Canis lupus familiaris: one gene and its partners. The protein of the gene in region 3 interacts with the protein of the main gene of each other region in a pairwise test. Links are inferred from orthologs where the notes say so. Each region holds a gene or a part of one and is shown on either strand. Other genes may lie near its edges.

Region 1 (4,870 bases), on a different chromosome or scaffold from region 3:
AATCAGGGCCTTTGAAAGACCTGGATTCCAAGCATTTCTGGCTTGAGTTCCACCTTCATACTATATCATATTGCCTCTCAATGTTAGTTGATAAACAGCAGACTAAGGGATGGGGAAGAGCACTGGCCATAAGTCTAACTGGGGAAAATAATTGAACATCTTTAAGAGCCCCCACACTGTTCAATTTGCATGATTTCATTCTGTCTTCACTGCCCCAGACTGATGCTAGGCTTTAGGAATACAATTTAGCCAAGAGTTCTTGTAATGTTCATTGACTTGTAAGCAAATAATTTGAATATCTCATTACAAATGTTAAAGAGTTCTATCCAAAAAAAAAAAAAAAGGCTCTATCCAGACCTAGAGAGCTGGGACAGACTACAGAGCACTGGGAAGGGTCTGAAATGACCTTTGTGCTAGACCTCAAAATACTAGTTTTGCCAGAAGGGCATTTTGGAAACTGGACTAGCACCTGCAAAAAACTTGGAAATCCTGGAAATAGAGTATAGTGGGAGCAAAAAAGGCAAAGGGCATGGACAGAACTGACTGGAAACAAAAGCCAAGCCATTTACACATTAAATTCCAGGCACAGGGGTTGGTAGCTTTTATTCTATTATGTATAGACAGCTGAATATAGAACTGTGATCTCACATTTAGAGAAAGTTTGGGTTTTTCCCCTTGAGCCCATGGCAATTCCGATTTTGTCTGTAGAGGATGGGCCAGTCAGAGAAAATGTTCAGGAATTGGCTGAGGCCAAAGTTCTTGCAGAGCCCTGTCAACCCCTTCCAGAGAAGGACTCAAGCTGGTAACGCAGAGTTGGGGCGGGTGGGGGGAATAATTCCACCAAATTACCTTGACTCATCCTTTGAGAAAGTGCCATGGTGAATTTCTTCTGGGTACGAGTCAGGGTAATCCAGGAGGTAAAACGGAAGACTTTCTGATTTTGAATCCCTACTCACTACTCAATAGCGATGGGACAAGTTATTTAACTTTTGCCTTACTGTCCTCAGATGCAAATGGGAATAAAAAATAGTACTGAGCTTAGTAAATAGGCGGATTAAGCTAGTAGGTGGGAAAGCACACTGTAAGCAAAGAACTACTACTGTTATGAAAAGTTTTCATTTGAATACGGAAAATGAGGCCTGGGAAAGAAAAGAATGGCCCCTCAGCGAATTCGCGATGAAGTTAGAACTGGAATACAGGTCTTGATTCCCAGCCCAATGCTCTATCCCTTGTCATCAGAGTTCCTGGTCATAGATGTTCACAGCAGAGGGTTGAGGCTGGTAAGGGCGTGCGGGAAAGAACAGCCAGGCACAGGGCTCTGGACCTGAATCATAAATTCTGCACGACAGGAACCAGGCGGATTCCAGTATTCGTGCAGAATGACTAGCTCCTTTCAGACCTCCTGGGTATCCGCCTCCCAGGACTGAAGTCCTTTCTATTGCATCTTGGGAGTTGGGGGTCAGCCGCGGTGCATGGAGGGACATGTAGTCCTTTCCCTCCCCCTCCGCCTGCCCAACTCACCCGCCTCAAAGGCCGCCTCAGGCTGCCTTCGCTTCATCTTTCCCAGCAAGCCCCGCGAGAGCGCCGGCTATTGATTGGCTGTGGCAGGAGCAGGCGGCTTGGCCGGCAGCGGTTACCCAGGGTTTCCGGTGCGAGGCCAGAGCGGGCGAAGCCGTCAGGAGGTCGGCAGTGAGGTGCGTGTTGCGGAGGTTTGGGGGGAACAAGGCGACCAGCAGGTCGGTGGGCCTGAACACTCTCGGTCGGTGGAGGGAATCACGCCGATTCCGCGCGAGGGAGTGGGCTGGGGGGGGCAGGGCTGGTCCTGTGCGCATGCGCGGACGGGAGGCGCGCGGGGCGTGGGTGGCTGCGCGCGGGGGGGCCCACGTGGGGCTTGGGGGCCGGAGGAGGGATGGGAATCGAGCGTCCCGCCACGTCAGTCTCCGGCCCTGAGCCTATCCCGCGCTCGGCCTGTGGTAAGGGGGCTGTGTAGTGCCGGGAAGCGGCTTCGAGAAAAAGGAGGCCTCGCCTGCCGCGCTTCTGAAGCAGCGCCCCGAAAACCTGCCTGGGCGCGCCGTGCTCCTCCGACTGGCCAGAGAGAGAACCGTTGGCTCCCTCTGGTGAGGGACGGCCAGTGTGTCCTAAGAAGCTTTGTGCACCCGGGATTGGGATTTCGGATCCAGGCTGTGAAGAATTTTGAAGTCTGGAATATAGCGAGTGTGCTTGTTTCTATAGGATCTGTTTCCAGCCTAGCATTGCAAACCACAATGAAGAACCAAGACAAAAAGAACGGGGCTGCCAAGCAGTCGGGCAACACTTCCAACCCAAAAAGCAACCCGGGGCAAGCCGAAGTAGGACCAGAGGGAACCCAGGGGCGCCCCAGCCAGCCGGCTCCTGCGACAGAAGCTGAAGGTTCCTCCAGCCAGGCTCCAGGGAAGACTGAGGGTGTGTGCCATTTCTGCTTTCCAGCGGGCAGGGGGAGGAGTTTGTGGTGCGCCAGGATAGCTTCTGGAGTTCCAGGCCTAGGCCACTGTTTACCCAGGAAGGAGGAAATGTAGAATGAGAGGAGGACTGCCACCCGCAGATCCCTCTTTCCCCAGGGTGTTGATAGAGCCTCCCACTCAAAGCACAGGAGCAGAACTCTTAAGAGAAGGCTCTGACAGGGTTAAGTCAGGTGGCGCTCAGATGAGACACCCAACCAGCTAGCCCGGCTTAGAAATGCTGCATTCACCAGTGGGCAACTACTCTTCATGTTGGAGGCTTTCTTAGAACTTTTTTAATAGCAAGAAATGATTTTTGCAGGGAGGGGAAAGGGAGGGACTAGATGTTGAGCTCCAGGTACATGCCATCCCTATATGCTGGATGCTTTATTTCCTTGATTCCTTTCACATCTATAACAGACATGATTGGGCAATAGTGGGAAATAATCTTATTTTATGGGTAAATAAACTAAGGCTTAAAGAAAGTAGGCAACATTTAGCCCCAACCAGTAAGTTTGGGCCTGAAAAATCCCAGCAAATGGAATTAACCATCTTGTTTCTCATTTCTCATTCTGCCGCTCATCTTGCCCTGCCACAGGAGCACAAGCCAAAACTGCTCAGTCCGGGGCCCTCCGTGATGTCTCTGAGGAGCTGAGCCGCCAGTTGGAAGACATCCTGAGTACATACTGTGTGGACAACAATCAGGGGGGCCCAGGTGAGGATGGGGCACAGGGTGAGCCTGCTGAACCCGAAGATGCAGACAAGTCCCGGACCTATGCTTCAAGGAATGGGGAGCCTGAGCCAGAGACCCCAGTGGTCAATGGTGAGAAGGAGACCTCCAAGGGGGAGCCGGGCACAGATGAGATCCGGACCAGTGACGAGGTTGGAGACCGAGATCACCGAAGGCCACAGGAGAAGAAGAAAGCCAAGGGTCTGGGTGAGCAGAGGGCAGCTACTGGTGAGGTGGGGATGTTTGGGCTAACCTGCTGTCCCAGGATTCAGAGGAAATTACTTTCTGGAGCACCGAGTCACATTAGTTTGATCCAAGCAAGGGGTGTGGACCGTAGAACAGAGGGGTGTAGATGGGATCCTGTGTCAGCCAACACTATCTCTAACCTGCTCTGTAAACTTGGGCAAGACCTTTCTCCTTTCTGTTCCTTAGTTTTCGTTTCTCTACAGTAAGATTTGGACTAGCCCAGGGTTGAAAACACAAATAAGCCAAGTTAGACAGGGGACCCTAGGAGGACAAGACATTGCCTACTTCATCCAAAGGGGTGATTGCCATCTGGTCCCACCATGCTGATAGCATATAATACTACAGGCTAAGTGTAGCCAGCCTTTTTTTTTTTTTCCCCCCCTCATTCTTTTTTCTCCTTTTTTCCCCTTTGTTATTATGCAGTTAAGTGAAATCTCTCTGGATTTTTAACAATTGGCAACTGAAGAAAAAAAAAAAAAAAACAATTGACAACTAATATGCTGGGAGCCAAACAAAACTCGTGTGGGTTTTGGCCTACGTGCTAGTGCTTTGCAGTCTCCACACTGATCTTTCGAGCCTCTTGGGTTTGACACTTCAGGAGCCTGGTGCTGTGCTATGTACAGGAGCCCTCCAGGGAGACAGAAGGAAGCCCCTTTGACTGAAGCACAGTGAGAGAAAGTTATTGGGGGCAGGGGACTAGTGTGTATGTTAAAGAATCAGAGTTAAGTGATATTATACCTGTGTCTTAGTCCTTAATTCCCCACCCTCTGTTTGTCATCCTAATGGAAAGGGTTTTTTTTGTTTGTTTTTGGTTTTATTTTGTTTTGTTTTTTAAGATTTTATTTATTTACTCATGAGAAACACAGAGAGAGAGGCAGAGACACAGGCAGAGGGAGAAGCAGGCACCATGCAGGGAGCCCGATGCGGGACTCGATCCAGGGGACTCCAGGATCACTCCCTGAGCCAAAGGCAGACGCTCAGCTGCTGAGCTGCTAAGCCACCCAGGCATCCCTGTTGTTTATTAATCTTGGGATCACATATCGGAAGATATATTTGTTTAAAAGTTCACTGTTTAGGAGGGAACAAATAAAGTTCACTCTTTGGCTACCACTGTTGACAAATGTTTAGTAGTTACCGAGGAAACCTATTCCTTTTTGCCTCCTTCCTCTTTCGAAAGGGCTTTCCTTGCATTGACACAGTAGCACTTAAATTGGCCATTGGGATGTCTTTTTTTTTCCTCCTGCTATTAGAGCAGGCAGGTTTTTTCTCCCACTCTCAGTGTTCACCATGGAGTCTCCACATAGACTCAGTTATTAGTCTATTAAGCATTTGTTGAGCATGTCGTCTGAGATGGGCACCAAAGACAATATGGAGCAGCACTGGGGCCACAGTAATAGGCTGAGTTCAGTTGGTGGTA
Region 2 (4,871 bases), on a different chromosome or scaffold from region 3:
AACACACAGGAATGGCAGTGGTTCCTCGTCAGTGTTTTAGCCTCTGGCCTCAGGGACTTGGGATATGACCCTGCAGGTCAGTGTTCAGTTTTGGCAACAGGGTAGTGCCAGAGATTTCTCAATCACCAATTTTTAAATGTTTTTAACCATTTGAAAAGCATCACCAACATGCTATTTGGTGTTGGCTCAACACTCTGTGCTGAGAATTAAAGAACCCTCAACTTGCCAAATGTCTTACTTCACAAAATCTAATTATAACTGAAGAGTCTACCAGATGTCTATAAAAAATTACACAGCAACTTTCATCAAACAGTAACTACTACAAAAGGAATGATAGAAAACAATGACTTCACAAAAATACACTAAAAAATTTGACAATTTTATGCAGGAACCGCCAAAGTTTTAGTGTTTAATATTTAACAGCACGACTGACCAAGATCCAAGATGTGGAATTACCATGTTCAAGAAACTGGGGGAGAGGATCACTCTATATAGACTAACTATACAGTATGTTGTAAGAAGAACGCACACTTCAGAATAGAAAATCTGTCTACACATAGCAGTTGCTTCAGAAAGCCATTCGGTCTTCTGTCGGCTTGTAAAAATGCTGTTCCGGACTTCAGTGTGAATTAGCTGCCTGTTGGAAAAGAAAAACCATCAACACATTATGCTCCCACCAGGACAGAGAAGATGGACATGTACCACTGTCAAATGGTAAAAAGCTTTCCAGAATCCTCTACTGAACTAGACATATGATGTACTTCCTTTGCACGATGCCCCAGCAAAGATATCACAACAGATTTAATTGGAAATCTTTATTTGAAAACTTCTGAATCCATTCCCAGCAACTCTTCCTCTTGATCACCCCTGTCACTCGAAAAGTCTCCATCCTGCAGTTCTCCACAGATGTTCTCACTCACTTGACGGGACTTTTGACCGCCATGTGGTGGTAGGAGACCCAGAGAAGCTTCTAAGGCTGGCAGGACATTTTCCATATCATCTCTCTACAGGAATAAAGAGGACAACCCACACATAACAAGTGTGTGATTTACTCACACAGCGAGTCAACCCAATCTCTTGTTAAAATGACAGTGAATTTCCAAGTCTTTTCGCTCCCAAGTCTGTCTCTTCTTGGACTTCAAAGTGACCTGTATGCCACAGCTACTTCTAATCTGGTTCAGCCAGGACATGCCCAGAACTTTTGAAAAAGGAATTTGGTGCCTTTTACTGTATGTTCTGCTTGGTACTAGAGTGGTCTAAAAATTCTCAGTAAACTTTGTTTTTATAGGGAATTAAAATGCTAAAAATGGGATGAGAGAAACGGTAGTTTCAAAATTAGTTCTAGGTTGCGGCGAGGTAACCACCATACTCCTGAAGAGGCTCATAAGGAAGAAACCTACCATGGGGAGACTACGGAGGCCCACAACATCTTGCTGTCTCGCTATGTGGCTATTGTTGATTATCTGTCTTTCATCAGATATTGGGAACTATGTAGTGGAAATTAAGATTTATTTACTTGAGGGACAGAGAGTGGCAGAGGGAGAGGGTGAAGCCGACTCCCCATGAGCAGGGAGTTGGACATGGGGCTCGATCCCAGGAGCCTGAGATCATGACCTGAGCAGAAAGTAGATGCTGAACAGACTGAGCCCCCAGGCGGCTCTCGGGTGAAGGCTCACTGCGGCCTAACTTCATCCATTCGAGTCATAATCAGGCGTTGTCCTGTCATTTATCTAGCGCAGGGGGAGTTCCCAGGAGAACCCAGAACTCAAGGCACTTATGAAGTTGAAGGTGGCAATATGGGGTTTTGGTCACAAAAAATAAACAAACAGACAAATAAATAAATAAATCTGCCAGTGGTAAGAATTCTCAGGCCAACAAAACACATTTCTTGGTATTTGCCTGCAATGACATAAACTCAGTGACTGCCTGTTAACCAGTCATCTTAACTACTAAGGACATAGGTCCACTTAATAAAGGCCAGGAGAATCAGAGAGACGCCTGCTGGGATCCGGCTGGGGGCTGATGGAGAGGACGCCCGGCCTCCTTAACTGCAGTGGCAGGCCCCGGACGGGGACAGCCCGACGGGGACAGCCGACCCCCTCACCTTCAGCTCTTCGGTGTGGCAGGGATCTTGTTCTCCCCCTCCAGCTCTTCCACCCCAGCCTGGGTCATGAGGTCTGCAATGTTTTTTTCCAGGTCGTCAATGCGACTGCTCATGTCATCAAGTGGAGAAGTTAAAGGCCACACACACCTGCCATTGCTCATCCTTTCGCTCCCGAGCTGGGGACACCGGGACCTTAAACACAACCGTCTCAGCCAAACTGGGCTTCCCTTGGAGTACGGCTAAATTCTGGCGGTGAAGGAGTCGGGGGCCCTTTACGGGTCCTGGGACCTGGACGAGCTCCTCCACTTTCCTAAGCTGCCGCCCCTACAACTTCTTCATCAGGTGGCGGCGGGGCCCGGAGCAGAGATCCGCACCCAGCGCGCAGCTCACGGCCCGCGGCCACTCCCGAGGCCACGGCCGGCCGACTGGAGGCGTCTGGGGGCCGGGGGGCCAGCTCGGGGGCCCTCAGCTCCTGGCACAGAACCGCCAGAGCACCACACCCAGGCTCAGTTACAATAATACTAACAATACTACTCATACTTGTACGTGGCCCATGGCTGCCTGCAGCGGGCCTGCAACCACCTATCAACACCGCTGCCCGGGCCACAGGTGCCAGGGGCCCGCAGAGGCTGACCACACATACAAAGGATATTTCTTCCGATGATCTGGTCGGACATGGTCTGAAATTTATCTTGCATCTGCTGCAGGAGTGTCTGCACCTGAGACGGGGAGACGCGACACGGAGCACCTGGCGCTCGCCGGGGCCCTCGCGCGGGGCGGGGCGGGGCGGCGTCCAGCTGGGGTCGCCCTGACCGCCCCGGCTCCGGCTCCGGCTCCGGCCCCCGCCCCCGCCCCGCCCCGGGCCCCGGCGAGGCCCCCTCCCGTGGCGGCTGCCGCGACTCACGGCTCGCTCGGGTGTGCGCTGGGCGCGCGGGCGGCGGCGGCCCGGGTCGGGCGAGCGCGGCTGGGGCTGCAGGCTGGGCCCGCGGCGCCTCCGGACACGCGGGCCGTCGCGGCCGCCGACAGCGCGCCTCGGGCCCCACGGGCGTCCCTTACCACCGAGGTGAGATCCTGCACGGTCTTGGGGTCCGTCTCGGCCATCTCCCCGGTTCCCAGCTTGGCGGCGAAGCTCAACCGTCACCTGCACTTCCGTCCGTCCGCGCGCACGCCCCGCCCCCCAGCGGCCTCCTCTCGCGACGCCGGAGGCCAGCCGCGGGACCGCAGGGTGCTGTGGGAGTCGTAGTTCGCGGCACACGCCGGAAGGGCCTGTGCTCTCGCGTTCCCGTTCCGCGCGGGGCCCGCCCCCACCCTCTCGCCCGGCCTGGCCCCGCCCCCCGGAGGCCCCGCCCCTCGCCGAGCCGCGGCGGAGAGCGGAGGGGACCCGCCCTGCCGCGGGGTCGGCTGCAGCGGCCGGTGGCCTGGCCTGCGCCGCCGCCTGTGCTCCGACAGAGCCCCGCAAACCCGCGGGAGGGAGCAGGGGTCGGGTCACCGGAGGGGACACTGAGGCCGCGTGTGAGAGGCGCGCGCCCCGCGTGCCCAGCTGCCCGGCTGCAGGTCCGGTCACGGCCCTGATCCCACGACGTCCGTGGAGGTGCCGGCGCAGGGGGCAGGTGGTTTTTAACTTTTGATTTAAGTGTAGCATATGTCTGGGTGGTGTAGACATCCTCAGTCCACCTCAGCTGGTGTTAGCCAACTCTCCAGGTCAAGAATCACCCCCAGCCTCCAGGGGAGCCCGTCAGCTTCTTTCCAACCCCCCCCCCCCCCCAACCCACCCACCGGGGCCACCAGTGTCCTCGGTTTTAACACGATCGTTTGTTTTGCTGTGTTTCCACTTGGTGTAAATGGAATGAGCGCCTCCCGAGCGCCGGCTTCTTTCGTGCAACACGAGGTTCGAGGGTCGGGGGTGTGCAGTGGGGAAGGTCTCTGGTTTGGGCAAGGGGAGGTCAGCTGCAGGGTCCAGAGAGTGGACTTAGGTGTTTAAGGAGGGGTGCTGCTGAGCTGGGACCTCGAGTTGCTGGTGGGGGGTGCACTGGGCCCAGCACTTTGTAGGATGCTGAGCAGCTTCTCTCACTTCTTCCCACCAGATGCCAGTGGCACCCCCCTCACCCCCCATGCAGTGTGACGACCAAAAAGATCCCTAGATACTGCCCACTGTCTGCACGAATTGGGGGGGTGGGGAGGTCGTCATCCTCAGTGGAGAACCAGTAGCTTTAGAAGAATCTACAGACGCTGCATAGAATTCTGTTGACTCAGTCTTCAAGTATGAATTTATTTTCGATTGGGGCATTTCTTGGGAATTTTCCTCCTTATATATTGACACGGGCATTAGTTTCCTGGGGCAGCTGCGACAGAGTACCACAAACTGGGTGGCTTAAAACAATAGACATTTATATTCCCACAGTTCTGGAGACCAGGAGTCTGGAATCAAGGTGCCATCGGGGTGGGTTCCTTCTGAGGGCTGTGAGGTACAAGTTGTTCCATGCCTTTCTCCTAGCTTCTGATGGCTGCTGGCAAATCTTGGTGTCCTTAGCTCGCAGATGCATTCCGCCCATCTCTGCCTCTGTCTTCATGTGGCCTTCTCCCCGTGTGTGTATCTCTCTCTATATAAGGTCACCAGTCATGTTGGATTTGGGACCGACCCTACTCCCATATGACCTCCTCTTAGGTTTTTATATCTGCAGAGACTCTGTTTCCAAATAAATTATGTTCTGAGGTACTAGGGGGCAGGTTCCAACATGTCTTTTTGGTGGGGAGACTCAACCCAAAG
Region 3 (4,018 bases):
GTGGTAAAACTCAGAGGAGAACCCAGGCCTGAGTAGTGCAACTTCAGAGTGCAGGGCGCCTAGGCACGGGATACAAACAAAACTGTCAAGCAGCTTTGCAACCGAAGAATTCGGGGAAGGTCCCAGTGCAGCGCAGAGAGGAACACGTCCTGTGGCACCTTGGTGGAGCCGGATCCTCAGGCTGCCCCAGGTATTCAGGAGACTCAATCTGTGCAAGGCAACAACACATTAGGCGCCTCCCAGGGAAATGCAGTCTGTAGATGGGTGTATGGGATTCCTGCTCTGTACCACACTACCTTGTCACCTCTGTAATTTGTAGAAAAGAAGCTTCCTATCAGACTTGCTTATCCAAATCGAGTAACCGTCCTGCTCGCCCGCGCCGCCTCGCCCTTCAGGCCAATCCCTCTCACAACCAGTTCCCTTTAACCCCAGCGGGAGGCGAATCCACTGTCCCCCAACAGACAGTGAAGACGGTCCCTCGGTTCTCCAGCAAAGCGAAGCTAAGCCCCGGCTTCCCGGCTTCTCCGGGCGCGGCGCAAAGGGGAAGGGGCTCCCGCGGTCAGGCAGGGCCGCCCCAGGCCTTCCCTCCCGTGCCCGGCCTGGTGCCCACCTACCGCGAGCAGCCTCCACGTGCCGTCCCCCGCAGGCAGTGCCCGAGCTCGCGCGCGGCCGCCGGGTGACAGCGGGGAGGCCGGGGGGGGGGGGGGGGGCGTGGCCTCCGCGCGCGGGCAGCGCCTGGCCCGCCTTCCGAGTTCCCGGGCCCGAGCTCGGAGCGACGAGCCCCCACCGGCCCTCCTGGTTGGCCGCTTCCGTTGCCCCCCGCCGCTCCATTGGCCGGCGCTCTGGAGAGCTCCGATTTCCCGCCTTCCGCCTCTCCTGATTAGTTCTCCTGTTTTCCCGGGTTCCCGGAGTTGGGAGGGGCCGCGGGCGCGCGGAGGCGTCCCCCACGGCCTGGGGCCTGGGGCCTGGGGCCTGGGGCCTGGGGCCTGGCTTTAGACCCCACTGCGCCTGCGTGCCCTTCCCCTCCCCCCCTCCCCCGGCGGCCCGCCGAGCCGCCCGCTCTGCGCAGGCGCGGTGGCCGCGCCCGGGGCGAGGGCCAGGGGTGGTGGCTGGAGGGCGGAGGGCGGAGGGCCTCGCGCTCGGTAAGGGGCGTTCGGGAAGAGTCGGTTGGGGGGCGGGAAGGGGCCGACAGGGGGTTCGGGGTGGGCTCAGGGGTCCATAGGGGAAGAGGGGCACAGGGACCAGGGGAAGGAGCAGATGAAGTGGTCCCAACGGCCTTAGAGCCCCGGGTCCAGCAGGGGAAGGCTCGGGTATCGGGGGAGACGCGGGAGTGGAAAGAGCTGGGAGCCTGCAGGCGTGCAGTTGGGAGGGGATGCGGCCGTGAGGGACCAGAGTAACGCTTTCAGGAAGGAGCAGATGAGGCTGTAGGGAGGGTGATAGGAATCCCAGGCAGGGAGACTAGGTGCGTTCTGGTGGGAGGGTAGGGAGACCTTGAAAAGACCTCTCGTGTTCTGGACCCCGGAGAGAGGACGGTAGGCGGCAGGAATGGCAGCTGAGGGCATAGAAGAGGGAAACTGAGGACAGCGGCCGGAAGGCTCTGGATGAGATGTCAGGAAATTGTTTTTTCGGCCAAGGGGTCTAGGCTGCCTGTTCCCAGGGGACCTGGGCAGGTGTCCTGCCCTACATGTGGCCACATTCATCTGGGCCCAGGCCTTGGGCCAGTGCTTTAATAGGGAAGGACCCAGGAGTCATGGCTTGGTGGTGTCTGGATGGGCTTCCAGAAGGCCTTGCTGAGCCATGGAGAAAACTCTGGAGATTGGGCTCACAGCCCCTGCACTGCGTACCTCCTTTCTCACCTCCGGCAAGGAAAGGCAGAGGCCGTAGAAACTTAAAGAAGAGGGTAAAGGCTTCCCAGAATTCTAAAAGTAGGAGTAAAGTCTAAGAGCTTCCTCTCGGCCTGCCTTAATTACCTCCATCTCATGGTTATTGCCATAGTTCTTCTATCAGGAACCAGGTTGGGTCAAGCAAGTGATCTTCGGGTATTTCCTACTTCTCTTGCGAAGTTACTAAAGGATTATGACTTTTGTTATTGTAGGGGCTTTCTCTTTGGAAGGTGGCCTGAAAATTGAACTGGGGTGTCCTTGTTTCTCCTATTGTCCAGGGAAACATAGATGGCTGGACACAGAATCTAGAGACTTCAGATAATGTGGAGATGTTTCAACCTTCAGGTCAGTGGGCCCAGGCAAGGGGACTGGTGATTGCCTTTCCTTAGAAAACTGACCATCTGTGTCCTTGTGATTCCTCAGGTTCCACTGGGTTGATTCCCCCATCCCACTTCCAAGCTCATCCCCTTCCAACTGTACCAAGAATGGCTCCCACCTGGGTTTCAGACATTCCCCTGGTCCAAACCTCAGCCCATCAAGATGTCTCAGAGAGGCGGCCAGACAACCAGAGACCTCAAGTGATCACGTGGGAACAGGATGTTTCTGGCAATGGGCAGGAGCTGGGGCGGAGAGGCAGGTAGGGATTCATTGTTGCTCTTTTCTTGGGCTTGCTTGCCAGTGACCCTTTTTCACTGAAATAGATTCCTTACCCTGTTTCAGCCCTTAGTTCCCTAACTTGTGCATTTTTGCATAAGCAACTCCTGGAGCTTAAGGATAAAGGATAAGGCATAAAGGATAAGGCAATGTGCTCGATGCTACAAATGGGGATAATGAAAATGAATGAGATCCTGATAGCAATGATTTAAAAGCCCTAAGGGAAGAGGTAGATTGACCAGCAGCTGATAGCAATGAGCAACATATAGGGTGAGAGAAAGAAGTACAAACCAGGAGTATAGGCTGTACTGTGGTAGCGTGGATTCTGATGGAGGACTTGCCTTTAGAGCTGACCGTGCTATTTGCCAATGTTTTTCTATAAAAATTGTGATTCTTACTCTTGATGTTTCGTCATGTGTCTCTTCTCAAATGTACTGGAATGTCATTCTGCCATTTTGCTCTAGAGTGGGGCTGCAGATGGGTCTGCCTTGGACCCCGTCCAAGAGAAAGGAGCATGATGATGAAAAGGGGAGAGCCCCAGAGTGGGTGTCAGGAGACAGAGACTCTGATGCTAGTTTGGCTACCAACTAGGGTCCTTTGGCCAGTTAATATCTCTAGGCTGTAGGGACGCCTGGGTGGCTCAGTGGTTAAGTGTCTGCCTTTGGCTCAGGGCATGATCCTGGAGTCCCAGGATCGAGTCCCACATCAGGCTCCCTGCATGGAGCCTGCTTCTTCTGCCTGTGTCTCTACATCTGTCTCTCCGTGTCTCTCATGAATAAATAAAATCTTAAAAAAAAAAAAATATCTCTAGGCTGTAGATCCCCACCATTTTAAAAGAAAAATCCTGTGGTTCTGGGCCTCAGTGGAGGAGGTGTGTCAAGATCCATGTTATCGTAAGCTCGTTTAAACTTTACAAGACACCAGTGGTCTATGTAACTTATTAATGTGCTGTCGACTCCTGGATACAGGATAGATACAGGATATCTAACACTCAATAAAGGCTTTTAATTAGTGCCTGGTCTCACTGTATTGATACTAGAAGCCATGATGACCTGTCTTTCTCTGAAACTTCCTCCAACTTTTCCTTACCCTTAAATCAGAATTCAGAAGTCTCTGGGTGTCTTCCAATCTCTATTTCAGAATGTGGGGCCTAATGATGTGCGTGTTTGATGCATCTGCCTGTATGTAGTTCAAAAGAGATCATGTTCCGTGAACTCAAGTAGCCTTTAGGTCCTGTGAGTGCCACTAGTGAGCCTAATATGCTTAGGACTGCCATGATAAATGACAGTGATGATGCAAATGCAGAGATTCCCCTGGCCCACCTTCATCCTCCCTCCCCCCATCTCCTCATACAGTAGCAGAAGGATCCTCCTCCTCTCTCTGTTTGTGACCTCCACCACCCTCCCAGCACCAGACAGGTCTCACCTGTGCTAACCTCTTTGAAGGTCTGTGGAGATAGAGGGGTCACAGGCCCTGAGCCA

The links. The genes of interacting proteins can lie anywhere in the genome.
Region 1: the proteins of CCHCR1 (region 3) and TXLNA interact in binary tests that used the Homo sapiens proteins (3 or more experiments, as listed by UniProt). The link is inferred for Canis lupus familiaris from reciprocal best matches to the Homo sapiens genes CCHCR1 and TXLNA.
Region 2: the proteins of CCHCR1 (region 3) and HSBP1 interact in binary tests that used the Homo sapiens proteins (3 or more experiments, as listed by UniProt). The link is inferred for Canis lupus familiaris from reciprocal best matches to the Homo sapiens genes CCHCR1 and HSBP1.

What each region holds. Positions count from the first base shown.
Region 1 is NC_049223.1:68,417,429-68,422,298, reverse strand, and holds the start of TXLNA (alpha-taxilin), read left to right. Parts: upstream 1-1,545; 5' UTR 1,546-1,694; intron 1,695-2,232; 5' UTR 2,233-2,264; coding exon 2,265-2,442; intron 2,443-3,075; coding exon 3,076-3,414; intron 3,415-4,870. UniProt on the Homo sapiens protein: May be involved in intracellular vesicle traffic and potentially in calcium-dependent exocytosis in neuroendocrine cells.
Region 2 is NC_049226.1:68,974,320-68,979,190, forward strand, and holds the start of HSBP1 (heat shock factor-binding protein 1), read right to left. Parts: upstream 3,326-4,871; 5' UTR 3,206-3,325; coding exon 3,161-3,205; intron 2,824-3,160; coding exon 2,757-2,823; intron 2,226-2,756; coding exon 2,107-2,225; 3' UTR 2,105-2,106; intron 1,005-2,104; exon of another isoform or gene 801-1,004; intron 638-800; 3' UTR 1-637. UniProt on the Homo sapiens protein: Negative regulator of the heat shock response. Negatively affects HSF1 DNA-binding activity. May have a role in the suppression of the activation of the stress response during the aging process.
Region 3 is NC_049233.1:991,470-995,487, reverse strand, and holds the start of CCHCR1 (coiled-coil alpha-helical rod protein 1), read left to right. Parts: upstream 1-1,218; 5' UTR 1,219-1,684; coding exon 1,685-1,900; intron 1,901-2,095; exon of another isoform or gene 2,096-2,161; coding exon 2,162-2,228; intron 2,229-2,306; coding exon 2,307-2,520; intron 2,521-3,982; coding exon 3,983-4,018. UniProt on the Homo sapiens protein: May be a regulator of keratinocyte proliferation or differentiation.